Canis lupus familiaris: one gene and its partners. The protein of the gene in region 3 purifies or fractionates together with the protein of the main gene of each other region. This does not show direct contact. Links are inferred from orthologs where the notes say so. Each region holds a gene or a part of one and is shown on either strand. Other genes may lie near its edges. The genes, in order: CNNM2, CNNM4 and PTP4A2.

Region 1 (4,350 bases), on a different chromosome or scaffold from region 3:
AAGAAGGAAAACTTAGTTTTGAAGACTATCAGGTCATTAAAGGTCACATACATATTTTAATACCTACACTAGCACCACAGCAATTAAACAGCTCGGCCGCCCATGGTTTTCAAATAGCAACACTAACTATTTACTGGAAACTTTTTTTAAAGACAGAATTTCAGTTAATAATAGCATGAGTTGCTATTTGCCTGTTCATTACACGGTAAAACAAACAAAAAATAACCACCATGCGGGGAAAGGTGAGCACATCAGACTCTGCAGGTAGCTTCCCTATTAAAACTCCCCAGAACATTGAGAACTGACTTGAAGACACACTTCAACTTAACATACCAAGCGATCAAGGTCAAGAAGAACACTTATAAACCAGAAAAACTCTAGCGATAAATAAACCACAATAGAGGGCGTCATCCCATTGTTAAATGTTCAAGATTTCTGCCAAAATCACACTTGGTTTGGGAAATTTATTTGTCAAGTAAATATAAACAAATAGTGAAGAAAGCTAGACAAGATAGCCTAATAAAAGGTTAACTCACCTCTAGTCTTTCCAAGTTATATATTAATAACTCTACTTTGAAAAAAAACAAAACAAAACAAAACCCTCTTTTCTAGCTAAGGCAAGTCACACCCAAATGCATAAATCTTTTTGGTGATATTGGCTTAACCCATCCTCTATCCTCAAAAGGCAGAGCCCAATCTGCCCCACAGGTGGCCTGACAACCAGGAACAGAGCTACCGAAAATGCACTTCCAATCTCTGAAATGTCAGTGAATGGTTAAGGAGGAAGAAGAGGATTGTACTGAGTTTAGAGAAACTATCTCAATGTTTTTCCAAACGCCTGAGATTAGTACATGTCAACCAGATGGCACAGCATGGCATTAGCTGGCCCCGACTTGCACCTTACCCACTCAGAACTGGGGCAATGGTATGCAGCAGACCCCTCAGGACCAGAGGGCCAGCAGTATCATGCACAGAAAATAGAAAGCCTGCTTTTTGAAATGCGAAAAAGCGAGTGACGTTAGTCTCGTGCTTTTAGAAAACCTAGAAGCGCCTTCTAGTTCAATCCATCCCCCAAATCCATGCCACCCTTTCAACTTTGCAATTAAGAGACAGGAGAAATTCCGGTCAACTCGCCTTGGGGGGTTGATCTGAGGGTAGAGGGCTCAAGTAGGGAGGAGGATGGAGAGAGAGAGAGAGCAAGCCAATGAAAGATACCAAAATTTCCCACCTTTCTTAAATTCTTCCAGCATAGCGTCCAACTTGGTGTCATTGAAAACAAAGTGCAAGGGGTGGTTATAAAATTTAGTGATGGTTTTCAGGGGAGTACAGTCATCTGGATCCACGAAGGCCAAGTCTTTGACAAAGAGAAGGTCCACGATGTTGGAGCGCTCCCCCTCAAATACCGGAATACGGGTGTAGCCGCTCTCCATGATCTCCGACATGGTGTTGAAGTCCAGAATGGCTTCGCCCGTGATCATGAAGCAGTCCCGGAGCGGAGTCATCACGTCCTCCACTGTCTTGGTGCGGAGCTCCAGCGCTCCTTGGATGATGTTCAGCTCCTCCTTAACGAGGTCGTTGTAGGGGTCGGTGACCCGGAGCATCTCCAGCAGTTTTTCCCGGTTATAGACAGTGCCTATCTCCTGGCCCAGGACGCAGTCCAGCAGCTTGCTCACCGGGTAAGAAGCGGGGAAGGTCATCATCATGAAAAACTTGGTGAGGAAGATGGTGTTGGCCCCGACAGCCAGGCCGTGACGGGAGCAGATGGCCTGGGGCACGATTTCCCCGAAGATGACGATGCCGATGGTGGAGACCACCACCGCCACGAGGCCTGAGCCGGCGATGTCGTCGAGCAGGATGGTGAGCGTGGTGTTGACCAGCACGTTGCCCAGCAGCAGCGAACACAGCAGGTAGTTGCCCTGCCTGCGCACCGGCTCGATGCGTTTGGCGTAATTCTTCTCCTTCTCGGTGCCGCAGTTCTGCACGATGCGCAGCTCCATCGGGTCCAGGGCCATCAGCCCCAGGTTGAGGCCGCTGAACATGCCCGACAGGCACAGGAGCAGCGAAATGAAGATCACCTGCAGCCAGAAGGGCAGCAGGAACTTCTTCTCCTCGCCCACGATCATCTTGGTGTCCTCGCCGTCGTGGTAAATCCAGGTGGTCTCGGCCCACGGGGGCGGCGGGAGCCCGGCCACTCCCGAGCCGCCCTTGCCCCCGACGGCGCCGCCCGCGGACCCCGGGCCGCCGGCGCCCAGGGCGGGCGTGGAGAGCGATGTGCACAGGTAATAGGACTTGCTTTTCTCCATCTTGCGCAGCGGTTTGATCTCGATCTCAATGATGCCCGATGTGCGGCGGTTGAGAATGATGTGGGGCAAGATGATGATATCGGAGGTGCGGATGCCGCAGCGCTGGGGGCCGCTGTCCGGCTCGGGCGGCGCGGGGCCCCCCAGCCCGCGCTCGCCCGGGCTGTGAGGCCGCCGCTCGTGCTCGGTGAAGGCGATGCGGGACCACGTCTCGTTGTTGATGTTCTGCCCGTACACCCGCAGCTTGACCCGGGTCCGCTCGCTCACCCGCAGCGCCCCCCCTTCCATGAAAGACACGTCGTTCGTGTCCTCCAGCCGCAACCCGATGATCACCGTCTCCTCGTTCTCGCCCGCTGCTGCGCAGCCGCCCGCGCCGCAGCAGCAGCTCAGCAGTAGCAGCGGCAGCAGCCGCCCCGCCGCCGCCTGCAGGACCCCCCGGCCGCGGGCGCTGAGGCTGCGGCGCGCCGCCATCTTCCAAGTGGGCAGTGCGGCGGCTGCCTGCCCGCCCGCCATCTTTACTTCGGGTTCACAAGCGCCACAGCCAATCATAGGGTGGCTGCTCCAGCTGCGGCTTCATCCTTCCCACCCGGCGGCGCGAGCGCAGCCACCGGCCCCTGGGCGAGACTGCAGCGGAGCGTCCGCACACACGGTCCGGCGGTCCGGCTCCCTGACTGACACTGACCCGGCCTCTGCCAGCTGAGGAACCTGGAGACTCGCGGGAGGGGGAAAAGGGAGGGTGAAGCGCCAGCCGCTCCCGCGAGAGGCAGGCGGACCAGCCAATCACGCGCGGGTGCCCGCCCTCCCAGCCAGGGGGCTGGAATGGGGGCGTGGTCACGAGCGGAGCCGCGGGCCAATGGCAAGGCAGGTGGGTGGGGCGATGAAAGCCACCGTCCCCCTCGGCACGCCAAGTTTCCTACTGAAAGGCGCGTGACTCTTGTGTATGTGCGAGGGGAGGAGGTGTGGCCAGCTGGGGCCCGAGAGCCACTCACGGACGAGAGCTGTACGAGAGGGGGCGGGGCCTGCAGTCGGGCTACCAATGAGAGGGGGCCGTCTGCGGGCCTGGTGCTCCCCGAGGGGCCTCGGTAGTAGCTCCCCGCGCCTGGGTAGGCAGTGCTGGGCTAATGTCCTGGGGCCCTGGACGGTCGGTTTTCGCGGCACCGCGTTGCCGGCTGCCGCAGTGCTCAATGTTCCTGCGACGGAGGCTGCCCCAGGAACCCGGGAAGCCGACTGGGGAGGGCTCAAGCAGCGCGTTTGCCTGAAAGGCCGGGACACCTGCTGCGCCACCCTCCTCTACCCGTCGGCGCCGCTCCGCCCGGGATTAGCGGCGACTGGGTGGCCCCACACCTAGCGACCTGCCTCTTCTGGAGCTTCTCACTTCTCCCAACGGGATGCTCTCACGCCGCAGCTTGCGGTCGCGTGGCGCCACCTGCCGGTTACGTTGGCACCCTGCAATGCTTTCCAGGTCTGCAAACCCCAAAAGCTTTGCGGGAGAGGTGAGAAGGTTACAGTGAAGCAGTTTCCCCACCTTCCAAGTCAGGAATCCCCTCACTATACCACAAAGCTATAGTCATCAAAACAATACGGTATTGGCATGAAAAAGGCATACGGATCAATGCGATGGAACAGAGAGCCCAGAAGTAGACCCATACATATATGGTTAATTTAGGAAAAGGAGCCAAGAGGAAAGGACAGTCTCTTCAATGAATGGTGTTGGGAAGACTGAACAGTTACATACAAATGAATGAAACTAAATGCCATCTTACACCACGTATAAAAATTGACTCAAAATGAATTAAAGACTTGAATCTAAGATCTGAAACCATGAAATTCTGACAAGAAAAGGTAGCAAGCTCTCTGACATTGGTTTTAGTGATTTTTTTTTAAATTGTGGATCTGACTCCAAAGGCAAGGTAAACAAAAGCGAAAATAAACAAATGAGACTACAACAAACTAAAAACTTGAAGGAAACCAACAAAACAAGAAGACAACTTGTTCAATGGAAGAAAATACTTGCAAATCACATATCTTATAAGGGTTTAGTACCCAAAAC
Region 2 (4,300 bases), on a different chromosome or scaffold from region 3:
GAGGTTCATTCTGTCTGAAGAGATTCTGAAATCAGTCTGTCCCTCTGAAAAAGGGAGGGGACTAATCTCCCACTCTGGCCCTGATCAGAGCAAACCTGGCAAGGCCAGCTCCTACCTATCCCACCCCCTCACCAGGGACCCATCCAGTTCCAGGCTCTCTCCCCACCTCATGAAATAATCGACCGACAAGCATCTGAGGCCTGTTCCCCACTGGAGCGCAGAAGCTGCTCCCAGCCCTAGGCTGGCAGGCTGCCTTAGCCAGCAGGAGCTCTACCTATGGGGAAGGGAAGCAAAGTCCTGGATTTAAGATGTGCTCCCTCCCCTCCCCCATTCCTTTATAAAGAGCTTCCCTTTCTGCCTCCTCACTCCCTTTGGCCTAGGAGGGTTTCACTCCATAATTGGCTTGTTTACTGCCACTGAGGACTTCTGAGTGGCAGAGGTGGGAGGAAAGTTTTGTTGGACGTAAGGAAAGGGGTGTGTGCCCTGAGCTTTGAGGCTGATGAGTAAAACCTCCAAGTGCCTTTCTAACTACCTGAGAACTGGCCAAGAACCCATGTGAGAAAAAACACAAGGCACTGCACGGCCAGCTGAAGATTTCCAGCAGACCACAGGAGGGAAGCTTATGTTTGGCGCCTGGGAAAAGACAGAACAGTAACCAAAACTTGATCTGCTTGCTTCTGCTGAATAGTCGAAAGCATTACTTGGCACTGTTCTGAGTGGGGAACCCAGAGATCTCCCAATCCAGCTTCTGTGGGTGAGAAGCCCCAGGAACATCACTCTTGCTCGAAAACTTCCGACAGCTCCTAGCTCTGAGCAAACTCTCCACCCTGACATCAGCCTCTCCCCACTGACCACTGAACAGCAGAGCTCAAACCCAGCTCAACAGGACCACCTGCTGGGCCACAGGCACAGCCTTTGCTTCCCCACTCAGGTGCTTGGCTCCTTGTAGGGGTCCTCTTGTCTCAGGGACCAAGTCTCCCCACATCTTCAGGCTCTCCTCAGATGCTGCCTCCCCTAGGAAGGTTTTCCCAGGTCCCCAGCCCCTTCCACACCTCACCCCAATCAGATGTGGGGGCCCACACTCTAATCTCCATGGCCTCTCTTAAGGCATCAGCCTTACTCTGTCCTGCTTCATAGCTCCTGAGGCCTTGCTCTATCCCTCCAAGTGCACAAGTGTTGTCTGGGCTCTGATTCACCTAGAGTACAAAGCACAGTACCTGGCAGACGGCAGATGCTTAGGAACCGTTCCTGCCGCCCCAAATACCGTTCACCTCAGAGGCACAGGAAGTGATGGGCAGTCACACACAAAAACACTAGGACCAGCAGACACAAAACAGGCAAGCGAACGAACAAGAGGCGTCACAAAGCCAGTTAACGGGCAGAACTTCACCAGGCCTTACCCTTCTTGAATTCCTCCAGCATGGCATCCAACTTGGTGTCATGGAAGACGAAATGTACTGGGTGATTATAGAAGCGGGTGATGGTCTTGAGGGGGGTGCAGTCATCGGGGTCCACAAAGGCCAAGTCTTTGACATAGAGAATATCTACAATATTGGACTGCTCGTCCTCGAACACGGGAATGCGGGTGTAGCCGCTCTCCATAATCTCCGACATCGTATTGAAGTCCAGGATGGCATCGCTGCGGATCATGAAGCAGTCTTGGAGCTGGGTCATGATATCCTCCACGGTTTTGGTCCGTAGCTCCAGGGCACCCTGGATCATATTTAGCTCCTCTTTCACCAGGTCATTATAGGGCTCTGTCACCTTCAACATCTCCATCAGCTTCTCCCGATTGTAAACGGTGCGAATCTCCTGGCCCAAAACAAAATCCAGTAGCTTGCTGATGGGGAAACTGAGGGGGAAGGTGAGGAGCATAAAGAATTTGGTGAGAATGATAGTGTTGGCACCCACAGCCAGGCCGTGTCGGGAGCACAAGGCCTGAGGTACGATCTCCCCAAAGATGACAATGCCAATAGTGGAGGAGGCCACCGCCATGAGCCCAGATCCTATGAGGTTGTCTAGAAGGATGGTGAGGGAGGTGTTGACCAGCACGTTTCCCAGAAGCAGGGAGCAGAGTAAGTAGTTGCCCTTGCGCCGGATGGGCTCGATCTTTCGGGCATAGCGCCTCTCCTTCTGGGTGCCACAGTTCTGCACGATGCGAAGCTCCATGGGGTCCAGGGCCATAAGCCCCAGGTTGAGGCCAGAAAATATGCCCGACAGCACCAGCAGCACCATAATGAGGAGGATGTGCAGCCAGAGGGGCAGGACCCTCCCACCCTCCTCCACCATGAAGAGCAGCGAGTCCTTATCGGTCCACCTCTGCCAGGGCCCGTCCACCCCTGCCCGGGTGCACAATGCATACAGCTTCATGTTCTCGCTCCTCCGGAGGAACTTGGTGAGCACCACCAGCATCCCGGACGTGTTCCCGCGGCTCAGGTTGACCAGCTGCTGGACCACCAGGTCCTTGGTGAGCTCGGGACAGTTGGTGGAGTTGTGGACGGCCTCGGAGTTGTCCACCTCGGTGAAGGAGATCAGGTTGCTGGAGATGGAGCCCAGCCTCTGGCCATAGAGCCTCAGGTTCACCGTGCTGCCCTCGGACACGAAGATGATGCCATCTGGGTTCATCCCACACGTTTTGTTGCAGCTCGCCAGCCTCATGCCCAGGATCGCGCCCCGCTGGGGGTCGCCCTGGCCCCGGGCCCCCCGCGCCCACATCAGCACCGGCAGCAGCAGCGCCGCCAGGAGGAGGCGCCCTCGGGCCGGCCCGCCGCCCGGGAGCCCGCCCCCGCCCACCGGCGCCATGTTGCTCCGGGTCGGCCGCCGCCGCTCCCCGCGCCCCGCCGCGCGGCCCCGCTCCCGCCGCCGCTCCTGCCGCTTCGCCGCCGCCGAGCCAACTGCCCCGGCCGCCGGCCTGACGTCAGGTCAGCGCCCCGCCCGCCCCGCCCCGCCGACCCACGCCCCTCATTTGCATGGGAGGCCCCGCCTCCGGGCGCGCGGCTCCGCGCCCGCCCTTAAGGGGGTCCCGAGCTTAAGGTGGCGCGGCGGCGGGCGCGGCGGCGGGGGCGGCGCTCGCCCCTCGCCCCTCCCCCCCGCCCGCGCGCCCTCCCCGCCAGCCTTCCCGCCCGCCCGCGGCCGCGCCGCCCGCTCGCCTCCGCCGGGCCTCCTGCCTGGCCTCGCCGGGCGTCCCTGCGGTCCGGCCGGGCCTCGCGGGCTCGGCTCCTTCCCAGAGACTGGTGCTCGGGCCAGGGTGGCCCTTCTCCGCAGCAACCTCCGCTCCGCGGTGGCTCGGGCAACAAAAATGCTTTTTCTATTATTTAAAAAAAAAAAAAAGGAAAGGGGAACCTGAGGGCTCAGGCATTGCAGACTGCGTCCTCGGAGACTTTTCAGGCAGAAATGGCCTCCGCACTCCTGGGAGTTTTGCTGACCTTGACCCAAGGCCAGAAGTAGGTCCCCTCGGCCCCAGCCCCCAGGCCCCGCACCCTTTGGCCATTGGCTGCCCGGTTGGAACAGTCCAGGGAACTAAGGATGTAGAACAGAACGTTCTCGCGGGTAATAGGGCCAGGGTCTGGCCTCGGCTATCCTCATGTCATTTCCATTCAGGACACAAATACTGAGCACCTACTATGTGCCCGGCTCTTGTTCCAGACTCTAACCATATACAGCCGTGAATAAGCCAAAGTCCCTGCATGATTTTCACGGTCTAGAGCAAAAAACAGACCATAAGCAGGTAAACACATGCAAAATATTGATTTAATCCTTGGAACAACACTAAGAGTTAGTGTTATCTGTCCATATAACAGATGAGGAAATTGAATCTAGACCTGCCTTCGGCTCAGGTCGTGATCCGGGGTCCTGGGATCGAATCCCGCATCAGGTTCCCCGCAGGAAGTTTGCTTCTCTCTCTGCCTGTGTCTGCCTCTCTCTGTGTGTGTCTCTCACAAATAAATCAATAATCTTAAAACACACACACACACACACACAACAAATAACAAATAACAAAGTGGGGTCCCTCCACATTGCTGTCTTAACAGGCTTGTGAGACTGGGAAGGCACGATGGAGTGTCAGCCCCAGTTTCTGTCTATAAAATGGGGATAAGAACAATAATAGGGCACCATCTCACTAAGCTTATAGGAACAACTGGCCTAGGCCTTGAACACGACAGGACAACTCTAAATGTTCTACACAGCTGGTGTTGTTTATGCCTGCCCACCAGGAGGACCAAACCCCTAACCCCAAATTGTGGTGGGGACTGCCCAGCCAGGGCTGATGATGTGAAAATGAGCTGAGAGGTGTGGCGCC
Region 3 (3,597 bases):
GCATCAGGGGATCCCTGGGTGGCGCAGCGGTTTGGCGCCTGCCTTTGGCCCAGGGCGCGATCCTGGAGACCCGGGATCGAATCCCACGTCAGGCTCCCAGTGCATGGAGCCTGCTTCTCCCTCTGCCTGTGTCTCTGCCTCTCTCTCTCTCTCTCTCTCTCTCTCTCTCTCTGTGACTATCATAAATAAATAAATAAATAAATAAATAAATAAATAAATAAATAAATAAATAAATAAATAAATAAGAAAAGGCATCATAACTTAGAGCTATTTGGGGGATAATCCTCAAAATATTTGTAGAGATCAGTGAGATACTAGTTGGTGTACTTTTTTTTTTTTTTTAAAGACTTTATTCATGAGAGACACAGAGAATGGCAGAGACACAGGCAGAGGGAGAAGCAGGCTCCATGTAGGGAGCCTGATGTGGGACTCAATTCTGGCACCCCAGGATCACACCCTGAGCCAAAGGCAAATGCTCAACCACTGAGCCGCTCAGGCGTCCCAGTTGGTATACTTCTTTGCCACAGTGGACTTTTAAATTATATTGATAGGTGTTGTATTCTCTCTTACTTTGTCTAGGCTTTAAGTATAGTTTTCTCTATTATGTCTAATTATTGCTTTATTCAGATAAATTATTTGAAGACCCTAGTTTCTTACCACTCTGATAAGAGATTTCCATAAGATAAAATTAGATGCTTACAATGCTGGCTACATGTGATTGAGAAGGCTAAGTTACTTGGCACACTTGAATTTTGATCTTGGAAAAAACTTTTCAGCAGTGATCAGAATTGTATTATTTAGGATAGGTATATAGGGGCACCTGGGTGGGTCAGTGTTAAGTGTCCAGCTCTTGATTTTGGCTCAGGTCATCATCTCAAGGTTGTGAGATTGAGCTCCGAGTCTAGCTCTGTGCTGGGAGTGGAGCCTGCTTAAGATCCACACCCCCTGCCCCATCCCCTGCACTCACCTTCTAAAAAAAAAAAAACTGGATAGGTATATAAAGTACAGTTAGTTAAAAGTTAGATGTGTTCTATTGCAGGTATTCTGCAGTAGATTTTATCCTGGAGAAAATAACAACTTAATGTAAAACATCTTTTCTTTCCAGGATTGGCCATTTGATGATGGAGCGCCACCCCCTAATCAGATAGTAGACGATTGGCTAAACTTGTTAAAAACCAAATTTCGTGAAGAGCCAGGTTGCTGTGTTGCAGTGCATTGTGTTGCAGGATTGGGAAGGTAAGCTCTTACATTTTTGTCTGTGAATTCATTATCAAAAATTTCACTCTGATAGACGTTTGTATTTATTACACCAAATATTAAATTGCCTAAAAGAAAAGGAAATGAGAGCTAAAGTTGGTGCAATGGTTTCTTAAGAGTTTGATGCCCATGATAGATTTAGTGGATGATGGCTCAGAAATTGTTTTGAAACTGATTTAATGTAATTATCTTATATTTGAGCTAAAAAAAATTTTTTTTTTGAGCTAAAAATTGGTCTTAATTCAGTATGGATTTTTTCCCCCTCATTTCACATATTCAGAGGGGCTTAGGTCTTTGAGATGAGCAACAAAAAATAATTTTAAATTTCTGAAGAAACTGTGTGGTTAATTTTGGATTGAGATGAACAGGAAGTTAATAGGTGGAGAGCCGATGGCCGAACTTTAAACTTCTGAAAGGAGATGTATGGAGAACAAAAATTAACTTTGATTTTAAAGCCTTTTTCCTTGAGCATTGCATGGAACGGTGTTGCTACAGTCTCATCAACAACAGATTAAATGCTAATTTATGATGTGCACTTTGACTCAGAACAGTAGTGCAGGGTGCTCTTGCCTCCAGGTGGTGGTGACTCAGGTTATTATCTCTGCTCAGGTCTGTTCTTTGCTCTTTTCCCCCCTTTTTTTGCAGTTTAGTGTTGTATAATTTCTTCTTCAGGGCCAGAAGTTCCAGTCCTTATTCTGAAGGGTGAAGATAGTGTCCTAACTTGGGCAGTTTTAAAACTGGTGACTATCCTAGCAGGTAGTCTAAAGTTGGTACCATGTAGTAGATGTTTTACAGTGTCATTTCCCAGGGGCACCAGGGCAGCTCAGTGGTTGAGATCCTGGGGTCTTGAGATCAAGTGCAGCATCAGGCTCCTCAGGGAGCCTGCTTCTCCCTCTGCCTATGTCTCTGCCTTTCTCTCTAATGAAATTTTTTTTAAAAGTCATTTCCCTTGCTAGATTTTTGTCTATGTGTGTAGTAGTATTTTATTGTTAAGGAATCTACTTCTGTGACTGTCCTGAAACCCAGGCTGGATTAACAGTGACAAGTCCTGGAGTTTAACTATACCTCACCTGGACTTGCTGTTTATAACCATTGTCTTCTTTCTCTACCCCAGCTGAAAATCCAGACTCATGAGGCTTCAATCCCTGCCTTCATATTCCTGGAAGACTCCAAATTCAACTATGTTGGAGGCTTTTTCAAAGGAGAAGACAGCTTTGTCTTCCCAGAAGACAAACCCTCTATTTTTTGGTTCATGAAGCAGAGGGCATTCCCCAAACCATGGACAGTTTGAGACCTGCTCAGGCCTCAGTGTCCCCTTGTTAGATGTAAAAAAAAAACCATAACCCTAAAAACATACTTTTATAGAGAACTGTTCTAATTATCAATTCTCTTAGCTCATAGAAAGGATTTTGTTGAAGAAATCTAGTGCCTTTTTAGTATTTGATGAGGAAAAGATAATAAAAAGGTTTTGTGCTGAAATTTTATTTTAAAGATTTTATTTATTTATTTATGAGAGACACACAGAGAGAGAAGCAGAGACGGAGGCAGGGGTAGAAGCAGGCTCCATGCAGGGAGCCCGATACGGGACTCGATCCCAGGACCACGGGATCACGACCCCAGCTGAAGGCAGATGCTCAACCACTGAGCCAGGTGTCCCTGTAATAAAGTTTTTGAGATACTCAATACAGATGACACGTTTGGTCAAATTTTCTTTTTCTTTTTTTTTTTTTTTTCAAATTTTCTTTCTTTTTTTTTTTTTTTTAATTTATGATAGAGAGAGAGAGAGAGAGAGGCAGAGACACAGGCAGAGGGAGAAGCAGGCTCCATGCACCGGGAGCCCGACGTGGGATTCGATCCCGGGTCTCCAGGATCGCGCCCTAGGCCAAAGGCAGGCGCCAAACCGCTGCGCCACCCAGGGATCCCAAATCTTCTTTTTTTTTTTCTGCAATGTTGGTTAAAGACCAATGAAGAATTTTTGATAACATAGAATATGAACATTCAGATAATGTCATGATGTTTAAAGAATAAAGATCTGTTTTTTAGAGAGAGAGAGAGAGAGAGAGAGTGTGCATGCACAGGGGAGGGAATAGGGAAAGGATAGAGAGAATCTTAAGCAGGCTTCATGCCCAGTATGGAGCCCCATACAGGGCTCAGTCTCCCGATGCTGAGATCATGACCTGAGCTGACATCAAGAGTCAGACCCTTAACTGACTGAGCCAACCAGGCACGCCAAGAATAAAGATCTCTTAATGAAGGTATAGAATTTAGTGCTTGGGCAGCACCCAGTGGCTCAGCGGTTTAGCGCTGCCTGCAGTCCAGGGCCTGATCCTGGAGACCCTG

What was found.
Region 1: the proteins of PTP4A2 (region 3) and CNNM2 purify together in Homo sapiens (affinity purification with mass spectrometry; 4 studies listed by BioGRID and IntAct, counting the BioPlex papers as one, with this or other methods). This does not show direct contact. The link is inferred for Canis lupus familiaris from reciprocal best matches to the Homo sapiens genes PTP4A2 and CNNM2.
Region 2: the proteins of PTP4A2 (region 3) and CNNM4 purify together in Homo sapiens (affinity purification with mass spectrometry; 6 studies listed by BioGRID and IntAct, counting the BioPlex papers as one, with this or other methods). This does not show direct contact. The link is inferred for Canis lupus familiaris from reciprocal best matches to the Homo sapiens genes PTP4A2 and CNNM4.

What each region holds. Positions count from the first base shown.
Region 1 is NC_049249.1:15,555,639-15,559,988, reverse strand, and holds the start of CNNM2 (metal transporter CNNM2), read right to left. Parts: upstream 2,850-4,350; coding exon 1,229-2,849; intron 1-1,228.
Region 2 is NC_049231.1:46,251,551-46,255,850, forward strand, and holds the start of CNNM4 (metal transporter CNNM4), read right to left. Parts: upstream 2,803-4,300; coding exon 1,401-2,802; intron 1-1,400. UniProt on the Homo sapiens protein: Probable metal transporter. The interaction with the metal ion chaperone COX11 suggests that it may play a role in sensory neuron functions. May play a role in biomineralization and retinal function.
Region 3 is NC_049223.1:68,628,806-68,632,402, forward strand, and holds part of PTP4A2 (protein tyrosine phosphatase type IVA 2), read left to right. Parts: intron 1-1,105; coding exon 1,106-1,236; intron 1,237-3,597.